Anolis sagrei: one gene and its partners. The main gene of each other region encodes a partner of the protein of the gene in region 3 in a complex. Links are inferred from orthologs where the notes say so. Each region holds a gene or a part of one and is shown on either strand. Other genes may lie near its edges.

Region 1 (3,748 bases), on a different chromosome or scaffold from region 3:
CCCTTTTGGGCAGGCGCAATGGAGCCGGAAGTGCATGGGCGGAGCATGGGGGCGAGAGCGCCCCGCTCTAGGAGTCCATCCTCGTCTCGGTGGCGCCGCGCCTGCGCAGTGTGTGTGTGTGGGGGGGGGAAAGCCATCGGCCGGCCTTGAGGCGGGAGCGCCGCTCTAGGAATCTCCCCTCCTCTCGGTGGCCACGATCAACTCGAGCCAAGCCTCAGGAGCGACCAGTTCTTTTGGGCAGGCGCAGTGGAGCCGGAAGAGCATGGGCGGAGCCTGGGGAGAAATCGCTCCGCTCTAGGAGTCCGTCCTCGTTACGGTGGCGCCGCGCCTGCGCAGTGGGGAGGAAGGAAAGGCATTTGGAGGGACTTGCGGCGGCGGGAGTGCCCGCTCTAGGAATCTCCCTTCGTCTCGGTGACGCCGCGCCTGCGCAGTGGGAGGAGGGAAGCCATTGGCGGGACTTGCGGCAACGCCCACTCTAGGAGTCAGCCCTCGTCTCGGTGGCGCGGCGCCTGCGCAGTGGGAGGAGGGAAGCCATTGGCGGGAATTGCGGCGGCACCCGCTCTAGGAATCTTCCTTCGTCTCGGTGGCGCGGCGGCTGCGCAGTGGGGGGAGGGAAGCCATTGGCGGGGCTTGCGGCGGCACCCGCTCTAGGAATCTTCCTTCGTCTCGGTGGCGCGGCGCCTGCGCAGTGGGAGGAGGGAAGCCATTGGCGGGGCTTGCGGCGGCACCCGCTCTAGGAATCTCCCTTCGTCTCGGTGGCGCGGCGGCTGCGCAGTGGGAGGAGGGAAGCCAATGGCGGGGCTTGCGGCGGCACCCGCTCTAGGAATCTCCCTTCGTCTCGGTGGCGCCGCGCCTGCGCAGTGGGAGGAGGGAAGCCATTGGCGGGGCTTGCGGCGGCACCCGCTCTAGGAATCTTCCTTCGTCTCGGTGGCGCGGCGCCTGCGCAGTGGGAGGAGGGAAGCCATTGGCGGGGCTTGCGGCAACGCCCACTCTAGGAGTCAGCCCTCGTCTCGGTGGCGCGGCGCCTGCGCAGTGGAAGGAGGGAAGCCATTGGCGGGTCTTGAGGCGGCGGGAGCTCCCGCTCTAGGAGTCCGCCCTCCTCCGGCCGGGGAGTGAGGGAGTGAGGGAAGGGGCGATGGCGGAGGAGAAGCGTGCGGGGAAGGGGGGCGGCGGAGGGGGCGGCGGCGGTGGTGTGGCGGGGCAGGTGCCCCCGGAGTCTGTGAAGGCGATGGCGGAGGCGGTGGGCCTGGCGGCGCTGCCCGAGGAAAGCTGCCAGCTCCTGGCCGAGGAGGTCAGCTACCGCCTCAAGCAGGTCGCCCAGGTCAGAATAAGGGGGGGGGGGAAGGGGCAGGGACCCCTCCCCCACACACAGGCACAAGGGGACTCTGGGACTCCACTTTGTCTTCTGTGCTATGCTAATAGCATATCTGACACTCTCTGAATACACCATCTCTGTCCTTCCCATGGAGCAAAGCATGGCGGGTGGAACAGACTCCTCAGGTCTGCCACACTTTGAGCATTATTAGACTGAGTCTTTTATAGGAATATTCTCTTGATGTCGTCCCAAAGCTGTAACCGCATCTCCATCTACGAACCCACACGCTCACTCCGGTCATCTGGGGAGGCCCTGCTCGTGATCCCGCCTACGTCGCAAGCGCGCTTGGTGGGGACACGGGACAGGGCCTTCTCTGCGGCGGCCCCCCGACTTTGGAATGCCCTTCCAAAAGAGCTTCGTCAGGCCCCTACCCTAGCAGTTTTCAGAAGGAACCTAAAAACTTGGCTGTTCCGATGTGCCTTCGCAGATTAGGAATCCCCATCCCAAGTCCTAGAAGCACTTTAGCACAACTATTGTTGCTGCACACCGCACTTTTAATCTTACGTTCCTCCTGCCATCTCAGCACTTTTAACCCTGCACCCCATTGCGCTGGCCGAACCAGTTTTAATAATGTCTTGATGTATTGTCATTGTGGTTATTTTGCTTAATTGTTTTGATTTGCTTTGTTTATTGTTGTGTTATGTTTCTATTGTATTGTATTTGAGGCTTCGGCCCGTGTAAGCCGCATCGAGTCCTTCGGGAGATGCTAGCGGGGTACAAATAAAGTTAATAAATGAATGGTAGCCAGATGTTGATCTTCTTGATTGGTGTTGACAAACACAAGGCTTGTGTTGACTTCCTTCTTAACATAAGGAAGGTTGCAAACATTTCCTTAACTTGAAAGAACCATTGTCACGGTTTTATTAGAGTTTACTTTGTAGTTCTTATTAGCAACCTTTAATTACAGTCCAGCAAATGTCACAGTCCTTATCAGAGTTGACTTTTCAGTTCTTATTAGCAACTTTTAATTACAGTCCAGCAAACAGGTAGTTAGTCATTGCAGGCCTTCATATTTTACTGGTGCTTCCAAAATTATTAAATCCACTCATTAGGGTTGGGCGGTTTTGTTTCGTAATTTCGTAATTCGTTAAAAATTCGTTATTTTTTTTAAAATAACGAAGCGATATTGAACCATTCAGGAGCAACTAAAAAACGAAACGAATTTTTCCAATTCTTTTCGAAATTGATTCGTTATTGATTTGTTATTGATTCGTAAATGTTTCGTTATTATTTCCGCATGTCTGGTGCACGTTTTAGGGTTGCTGTTTGTTTTCTCAGTGAAAAAAAAATATAATTATCACACCAACAGTCAACAACAGAGGGAGAGGGAAGCTTCAGAAGTTTTTTTAGCGTATTGAGCGATCGCGGCCGCCATTAACGAATCGATTCGTAATCGATTCATAATTGTTTTGTAATTGGTTTTTTGATTTCCGAAATTTTGTAAATATCGAACTTTTTTAAAGGAAAATTTCGGAATTCTTTTAAATAACGAAACGCAAAAAACCCCTAAAAACGAATCGAGTTTAGAAACAAATTTTTCCGTGTTTGGACAGCCCTACCACTCATACCTTCATCTTCCATTCTTCCATTCATTCCTACACATAATATTCAATTCACATTTCTCAAATTTTGGTGACACCTCCTCTCCCCCCCCCCCCAGACATCCACAAGGCCCCTTCGTGACGGAGACTCCCCTTTCCCTGTTTCCCCTGCAGGAGGCGCTCAAGTTCATGCGGATGGGCAAGCGGCGCAGCTTGGCCACTGCCGACCTTGACTGTGCCTTCAAGCTCAAGAATGTGGAGGTCAGTCTCTGGGGAGGGGAGGGGGTGGGGCTTCTGTGTGTGAGAGGGAGGGTCTTGGGGGCATGGCTTCATCGAGAGAGAGGCGGGGCTTAGAGAAGGGGGCAGAACTTCACTGAGTGGAGGGGCTCGCTTGTGAGAGGGATGGCTTCCTTGATTAGGGGTCTGTAGGGGTGTGGCTTTATTGAGAGAGGGGAGGGGCCCAGGGAAAAGAGGGATGTAGCCTGGAGAGGGGGGGGCTTCCTTGAGGGAGAGGGAGGGTTCTAGGCAAGTCTTTCCCCATTAGGGATTTGGAGGGGGCGGGGCTTCATTGGAGAGGGGAGGGGCCAGGAAAGGGGGTGTGGCTACTTATGGGAGGGGGCAAGCCTTTGCCTTGACAGTCCCTCCCCTTCTCCCCCCCCCAGCCAAGAGAGGGCATGAAGGGGGTGCCTCTTTGAGAGTGGGAGGGGCCTAGGGGAGGGTTCCCTTGATTAGGGGACTGGCGGCAGGGCTTCCTTGAGTGAGGGGCGGGGCTTCCTCTGGCCTTGCCTTGACACGCCCCACCCCTTCTACCGCCCAGGGAGGGGAGGGGCTT
Region 2 (3,748 bases), on a different chromosome or scaffold from region 3:
TGTGTAGCTTGTTGTCGACCTTTGCAACCCGAAAGACAGTTGCATCTGTCAAGTAGGAAAATTAGGTATCACCTATGTGTGGGGAGGCTAATTTAACTAATTTATGAGGCCATAAAAAGGACTCCAGCAAGCACTACAGCAAAAGCATGCGGGGAATGCGGAAGTACTTCATAAGTGTCGCAGATGGACGATTAAAGCGACAGCTGCCCTGGCGACTGAAAAGTTAAATAGCCACTGGCTGTTTGTCTATATCTGTTGTGTGTCTTTGGCATTGAATGTTTGCCATATGTGTACATTGTAATCCACCCTGAGTCCCCTGCGGGGTGAGAAGAGCAGAATATATACTCTGTAAATAAATAAATAAATAAACTACCAATGGCTATTAGTAATAATGGCAACCGGTACTGGAAGATCTTTTAGTCCCAACTGTTGAGGAAAGCAGGCCTTGGAGTGCTATTGTGCTCCTGTCCTGCCTGTAGGCTTTCTTTATGTATCAGGTTGGCCAATGTGAGAAGAAAATGTTGAGTTAAATATGGCTTTGATCAAACAGAATTCTTACAAATATTTTCAAGATAACTATACCACATGAGCCAACAAATGTCTCCAGAGAAGGGTGACTAAAATGATCAAGGGTCTAGAGAACAAGCCCTATAAGGAGCAGCTTAAAGAGCTGTTTAGCCTACCAAAGAGAAGGCTGAGAGAAGACATGATGGCCATGTATAAATATGTGAGGGGAAGTAATAGGGGGAGGGAGCAAGCTTGTTTTCTACTGCCCTGGAGACTAGGACGCAATGGAACAATGGCTTCAAACTACAGAAAAGGAGATTCCACCTGAAAATCAGGAAGAACTTCTTAACTGTGAGAGCTCTTCAGCAGTGGAACTCTCTGCCCCAAAGTGTGGTGGACACTCCTTCTTTGGAGGCTTTTAAACAGAGGCTGGATGGCCATCTGTCAGGGGTGCTTTCAATGGGATTTTCCTGCTTCTTGGCAGGGGGTTGGATTGGATGGCCCACGAGGTCTCTTCCAACTCTTATAATTCTATGGTTTAAAGTTTGTAATGACAAAACTGGCAAATTCTAAATACACCTAGTACAAAATAAATTTCATATTAGTGGGTGAGATTTCCCCCAAGGAAAATCTGCACAGGATTATTATAGCATCACAGTCTAATTCCAACGGAACATTTCCAGGTCTTCAAGTTCAACAGAGAGCTACATTCACAGTGTAGAGTTATAGCAATTTGGCTGCCATGACTGAATGCTATGGGATTCTGGGATTTGTAGTTTTGTGAGATATCTACCTTTCTTTGTCAGTTCCACAAAAAATACAAATCCTAGAGAATGGAGACACAGCAGTGAAAGTGGTGGAAAATTGCTATAATTCTGCAGTGTGGATGGTTTCAGGGGTTAAGTTCAGCTACTGTATTTAATCATTTAATTTTAATTGTTGGCTTCAAGATAGCTTTAACATCTATTTTATATGTATTGTCGAAGGCTTTCTTGGCCAGAATCACTGGGTTGTTTAAGTTTTTTTGGGCTATATGGCTATGTTCTAGAGGCATTCTCTCCTGACGTTTCGCCTGCATCTATGGCAGTGGTTCTCAACCTGTGGGTCCCCAGATGTTTTGGCCTTCAACTCCCAGAAATCCTAACAGCTGCTAAACTGGCTGGGATTTCTGGGAGTTGTAGGCCAAAACACCTGGGAACCCACAGGTTGAGAACCACTGATCTATGGCAAGCATCCTCAGAGGTAGTGAGGTAGTAACCTCACTACCTCTGAGGATGCTTGCCATAGATGCAGGCAAAACGTCAGGAGAGAATGCCTCTAGAACATGGCCATATAGCCCGAAAAAACCTACAACATCACAACTATTTTATACTCAGAGTGCATCTATACCAGGCATGGGCAAACTTCGGCCCTCCAGGGTTTTGGACTCCAACTCCCACAATTCTTAACAACCTCAGGAAAAGGAAAGGGTCCGGGGCTGTTAGGAATTATGGAAGTTGGAGTCCAACGCCCCTGGAGGGCTAAAGTTTGCCCATGCCTGATCTATACTGTAGAATTAATGCAGTTTGGCATCACTTTTACTGCCACGTCTCAATCCTGGGAGTTGTAGTTTTACAAGGCCTTTAGCCAAACTACAAACCATAGCACTCCACTGCACTGAGCCATGACAGTTAAAGTGGTGCCAAACTGCATCAATTCTACTGTGTAGATGCACCCACGGTCTTGCCATGAATTAGGGAAGCTCTGAAGGCAGCAAGTGTCCCCCTCAGCCTCCCAAAGGGCATCCAAGAAGGATAGGAAGTCTAAAAACAATGTTATTCTCGCCCCAAACTGAGCCCCTGTCTTCCTCACTCACGGGAGGATCCTCTTCTTCGTCCGCCATGATTCCTGGAAGCGACGGAAATGTTGTCCCACTGTCCCGGCCAATCAGGAAGCACTTCCGCCCGCGCTGCGATTGGTCCTTTCACGAAGAACTTCTGAGCATGCGCCCTGCGAAGAAAGGCAGCCACAGCTGCACTTATCACTCACATTGCCCTTCTCCAGAGGTGTCAGGCTCTGTTTAGAACACTAGGCCTTTGGACCCCATCTAGTACTTTTCCCTCACTGCTCTCATAAAGCCATACTTCAGTGCATCTACACTGTAGACTTATTGGGCATTGGATACCACTTTAACTGCCATGGCTCAGGATGGGAAAAGGACTAGTAATATTGGCCTACATTTATTTTCTTATCAAAGGTTATTTTCTTATCAAAGCCCTAAACGACTCTGGCCCTGTTTACCTCTCCGAACGTATTCTCCCCTATGAACCATCAAGATTATTAAGATCGTCTGGAGCGGCCCTGCTCTCGGTCCCATCGGCCTCGCAAGCGCGTCTGGTGGGGATGAGGGACAGGGCTTTCTCAGTGGTGGCCCCTAGACTCTGGAACTCTCTCCCACTGGAGATCAGAACCGCCCCTTCTATCCTGACATTTAGGAAACAGGTGAAGACTTGGTTATGGAGACAGGCATTCGACGAGTGAGCCAACACCCTGAGATATGGATGGAGGATGATGAGCAACGATTTTAGTGTGACGACTAACCATTATAGTTATTTATTGTAATTGCTGTTTTAATGTTTTACTGTAATATGTATTATGATGTTTTATTGATTGTATGTGATATTATGGTTGGAAACCGGTCTGAGTCCCTCAAGAGAGGTGAGAAGGCCAGTATACAAAACTTATAAATAAATAAATAAATACTCCATTCCCATTAAAGAGCAAATGTAAGGTCCCATGGAGCCTTGGTGGTGCAGCAGGTTAAACCACTGAGCTGCTGAACTTGTTGACCGAAAGGTCGGCGATTTGAATCTGGGGAGTGGGGTGAGCTCCTGCTGTTAGCCCCAGCTTCTGCCAACCTAGCAGTTCGAAAACATGCAAATGTGAGTAGATCAATTGATTTGATTTTGAGTAGATCAATAGGTACCGCTCCAGCGGGAAGGTAATGGTGGCCCATGCAGTCATGCTTGCCACATGACCTAGGAGATGTCTACGGACAATGCCGGCTCTTCAGCTTAGAAATTGAGATGAGCACCACACCACAGAGTCAGACACAACTGGACTTAATGTCAGGGGAAAACTTTACCTAAATAAACTTAATGTCAAGGGGAAACTTTTATATTTACCTAAGGCTCCATGCATATTTCCTTCTATGAACCTGTACGACCTGTTCGATCCTCTGGGGAGGCGCAAGCGCGACTTG
Region 3 (3,748 bases):
CTCTTCTGGGGGAAACTGTAATGAATAGCAACCCCTACTCCTGACACTTCAGGTCTTTTGGGGGAGATGGTGTTGTAATGAATATCAACCCCCTACTCCTGACACTTCAGCAAGAGAGAATGGAGAGAAGAATAATTCAGACACAGAGGCTGAAGAGAAGGCATGGACCAACTTTGGCCCACTATTACTATTACTATTACTATTATTATTACTATTACTATTATTATTATTATCATCATCATTCTTATTATTATCATAGTTTTAAGCAGGTCCTTGTCCCACAATCCCACCCCATCACTTCCTCTTCTGTAATGAAGGGGGGAAACTGTAATGAATAGCAACCTCTACTCCTGACACTTCAGCAAGAGAGAATGGAGAGAAGGATAATTCAGACTCAAAGGCTGAATAGCAGGCAAGGGCCAACTTTGGCCCACTATTATTATTATTATTATTATTATTATTATTATACTTTTAAGCAGGTTCCTGACCCTCAATCCCTCCCCATCTCTTCCTCTTCTGGGGGAAACTGTATGAATAGCAACCCCTACTCCTGACACTTCAGATCTTTTGGGGAAACTGGTGTTGTAATGAATAGCAACCCCTAATCCTGACACTTCAGCAAGAGAGAATGGAGAGAAAGATAATTCAGGCACAGAGGCTGAAGAGAAGGCATGGGCCAACTTTGGCCCAGTATTATTATAAATATTATACTTTTAAGCAGGTTCTGGGGGAAGCTGGTGTTGTAATGAATAGCCACCCCTACTCCTGACACTTCAGCAACAGAGAAAGGAGAGAAGGATAATTCAGTCTCTGAGGCTGTAGAGCAGGCATGGGCCAATTTGGCTCACTATTATTATTATGATTATCATTCTTATTATTATCATAGTTTTAAGCAGGTCCCTGTCCCTCAATCCCACCCCATCACTTCCTCTTCTGGGGGAAACTGGTGTTGTAATGAATAGCAACCCCTATTTATTCATTACATTACAACCTCCTGACACTTCAGCAACATAGAATGGAGAGAAGGATAATTCAGACTCTGAGGCTGTAAAGCAGGCATGGGCCAACTTTGGCCCATTATTATTATTATCCTAGTTTAAGCAACAGAGGAAGGATTATTCAGACTCTGAGGCTGTAGAGCAGGCATGGGCCAACTTTGGCCCAGTATTATTATTATTATTATACTTTTAAGCAGGTCCCTGTCCCTCAATCCCACCCCATCACTTCCTCTTCTGGGGGAAAGTGGCGTTGTAATGAATAGCCACCCCTACTCTTGACACGCAAGAGAGAATGGAGAGAAGGATAATTCAGACTTTGAGACTGAATAGAAGGCATGGGCCAACTTTGGCCCACTATGATTATGATTATGATTATACTTTTAAGCAGGTTCCTGACCCCTCAATCCCTCCCCATCACAACACCAGTTTCTGGGGGGAAACTGGTGTTGTAATGAATAGCAACCCCTACTCCTGACACTTCAGCAACATAGAATGGAGAGAAGGATAATTCAGATTCTGAGGCTGAAGAGCAGGCATGGGCCAACTTTGGCCCAGTATTATTATAAATATTATACTTGTAAGCAGGTTCTGGGGGACGCTGGTGTTGTAATGAATAGCCACCCCTACTCCTGACACTTCAGCAACAGAGAAAGGAGAGAAGGATAATTCAGACACTGAGGCTGTGGAGCAGACATGGGCCAACTTTGGCCCACTATTATTATGATTATGATTATTATTATTATGATTATTATTATACTTTTAAGCAGGTCCCTGTCCCTCAATCCCTCCCCATCACTTCCTCTTCTGGGTGAAACTCTAATGAATAGCAACCTCTACTCCTGACACTTCAGCAAGAGAGAATGGAGAGAAGGATAATTCAGACTCTGAGGCTGAAGAGAAGGCATTATTATTATGATTATGATTATCATAGTTTTAAGCAGGTCCCTGCCCCTCAATCCCTCCCTATTACTTCCTCTTCTGGGGGAAACTGTAATGAATAGCAACCCCTACTCCTGACACTTCAGGTCTTTTGGGGAAACTGGTGTTGTAATGAATATCAACCCATACTTCTGACACTTCAGTAACAGAGTATGGGAAGGAGGAAGAATAATTCAGACTCTGAGGCTGTAGAGCAGGCATGGGTCGACTTCAGCCCTCCAGGTGCTTTGGACTCCAACTCCCACCATCCCTAACACCCTCAGGCCCCTTCCTGGAAAGGAGGAGGCCTGGGGCTGTTAGGAATGGTGGGAGTTGGGAGTCCAAAGCACCTGGAGGGAGGGCCCAAGTTGGCCCATGCCTGAACATTGGCGGCCCATTGCGACCAAAACAACAAGGAGGAGAAGCTGGGTGGAAGGAAGCGAGGAAGGCAGGCAAGGGGGCAAGAGAGGAGGGCAAGAGGGGAGAAGGGGAGGCGAGGAGGCCCTCCTCCCTCTCCCTTCCCCAGGTTACCTGGCTTGGTGGTCTCTGGGCCACTGAGTCCCATCTTGGCGGCGTTACTGGTGACGGCAGTGGTTGTGGAGGAGGAGGAGGAAGAGGAAGAGGAGGAGGAGGTGGTGGTGCCGGGGCTCCCTGTTTGGCCACTGGCATTGCCTCCCCCTCCTCCTCCGCCGCCTCCTCCTCCGGGGCTGGGGCTGCCTCCTCCGCCGCCGCTCACGACATGGTTCCCCAGCAGCTGCCCGGTGGCGGCGTTGGCGGCGGCCCGGAGTCCCTCGGGAGGCCGGTGGTGGCCTCGGTGGTGCCCGGAGGCCGCCAGCTGGGACTCCAGCGAGCCCACTAGGTCGCTCACCACCTTCTCATCCACCTCCGCGTTCAGGAAAACCTCATCCAGCAGATCCGAGCCCGCCGCCATCTTTTTTCTTCCCTCCCTCCCTCCTCCCCCCTCCCTCTCGCGCGCGCTCACTCCTCCCTCCTCCCTCCTCCCCCCTCCCCTTCCCTTCCCTTCCTCACTCATTTTACACATACGCGGTTCCCGGCTCTCTCTCTCTCTCTCTCTCTGTCTCCCTCGGTGTGCCGCCACTGAGCATGCGCGCGGCGCGAGGAGAGGGATTCCGCCCGCTTCTGATTGGCCGCCGGCTGGGTATAAAAGCGGGCGCAAATGGCTCCCAGGGTTTAGTCAGGCGACGGGCCCGGCTGCGGCCTAGTCTTAAATAGGAAGAGAAATGAGGACTCAAAAGAGTGGTCGCCGCCGTCGCCGACTCAGAGACCCCGCAGTCTGACAGCCTCCTTCGCCGCCGCCGCAGTCGTTCTTTGTCTCTGACGAAACTCAAAATGGCTGCAGTCTCCGCCGCGGTGGCCTCTGCTGCTGTTGTTGTTGTTCCGCTCTCGCCGGGCTGGAGGAGCTTGGCGGCGGGGACTTGGAGCTACTCGACGCCGGCGCTTCACTGAGGGAACTAGGCCTCGCCGCCCGCTTTGGCTCTCTTCCTGCCCTTGAAGGACAGGAGGAGAGGCCCCGGCCTCTCCCACATGGTCTGCTTTGAACTGGGATCCCGAATGAAGCTGATCTGGGTTTATATGGCTGTGTGGAAGGAGACACTCCGGCCACTTCCACACAGCTGTACAAAGCCCACATTGGACTGGGTATGTGTCATTGTGGACTCAAATAACCCACTTCAAAGCAGATATGCTGGTATTCCTTGATCTTCTTGGGATATATGGCTGTGTGGAAGGAAACACTCCTGCCACTTCCACAAAATGTATTGTTGAAGGGTTGTTGTAGGTTTTTTTCGGGCTATATGGCCATCTTCTAGAGG

Evidence for each region.
Region 1: TAF4 (region 3) and TAF6 share a complex: the UniProt entries of both Homo sapiens proteins name them as parts of the TFIID basal transcription factor complex. The link is inferred for Anolis sagrei from reciprocal best matches to the Homo sapiens genes TAF4 and TAF6.
Region 2: TAF4 (region 3) and TAF13 share a complex: the UniProt entries of both Homo sapiens proteins name them as parts of the TFIID basal transcription factor complex. The link is inferred for Anolis sagrei from reciprocal best matches to the Homo sapiens genes TAF4 and TAF13.

The regions. Positions count from the first base shown.
Region 1 is NC_090026.1:540,058-543,805, reverse strand, and holds the start of TAF6 (transcription initiation factor TFIID subunit 6), read left to right. Parts: upstream 1-1,021; 5' UTR 1,022-1,135; coding exon 1,136-1,321; intron 1,322-3,090; coding exon 3,091-3,177; intron 3,178-3,748. UniProt on the Homo sapiens protein: The TFIID basal transcription factor complex plays a major role in the initiation of RNA polymerase II (Pol II)-dependent transcription.
Region 2 is NC_090023.1:40,844,546-40,848,293, forward strand, and holds the start of TAF13 (transcription initiation factor TFIID subunit 13), read right to left. Parts: upstream 2,471-3,748; 5' UTR 2,390-2,470; coding exon 2,363-2,389; intron 1-2,362. UniProt on the Homo sapiens protein: The TFIID basal transcription factor complex plays a major role in the initiation of RNA polymerase II (Pol II)-dependent transcription.
Region 3 is NC_090024.1:232,167,540-232,171,287, forward strand, and holds the start of TAF4 (transcription initiation factor TFIID subunit 4), read right to left. Parts: upstream 2,858-3,748; 5' UTR 2,848-2,857; coding exon 2,448-2,847; intron 1-2,447. UniProt on the Homo sapiens protein: The TFIID basal transcription factor complex plays a major role in the initiation of RNA polymerase II (Pol II)-dependent transcription.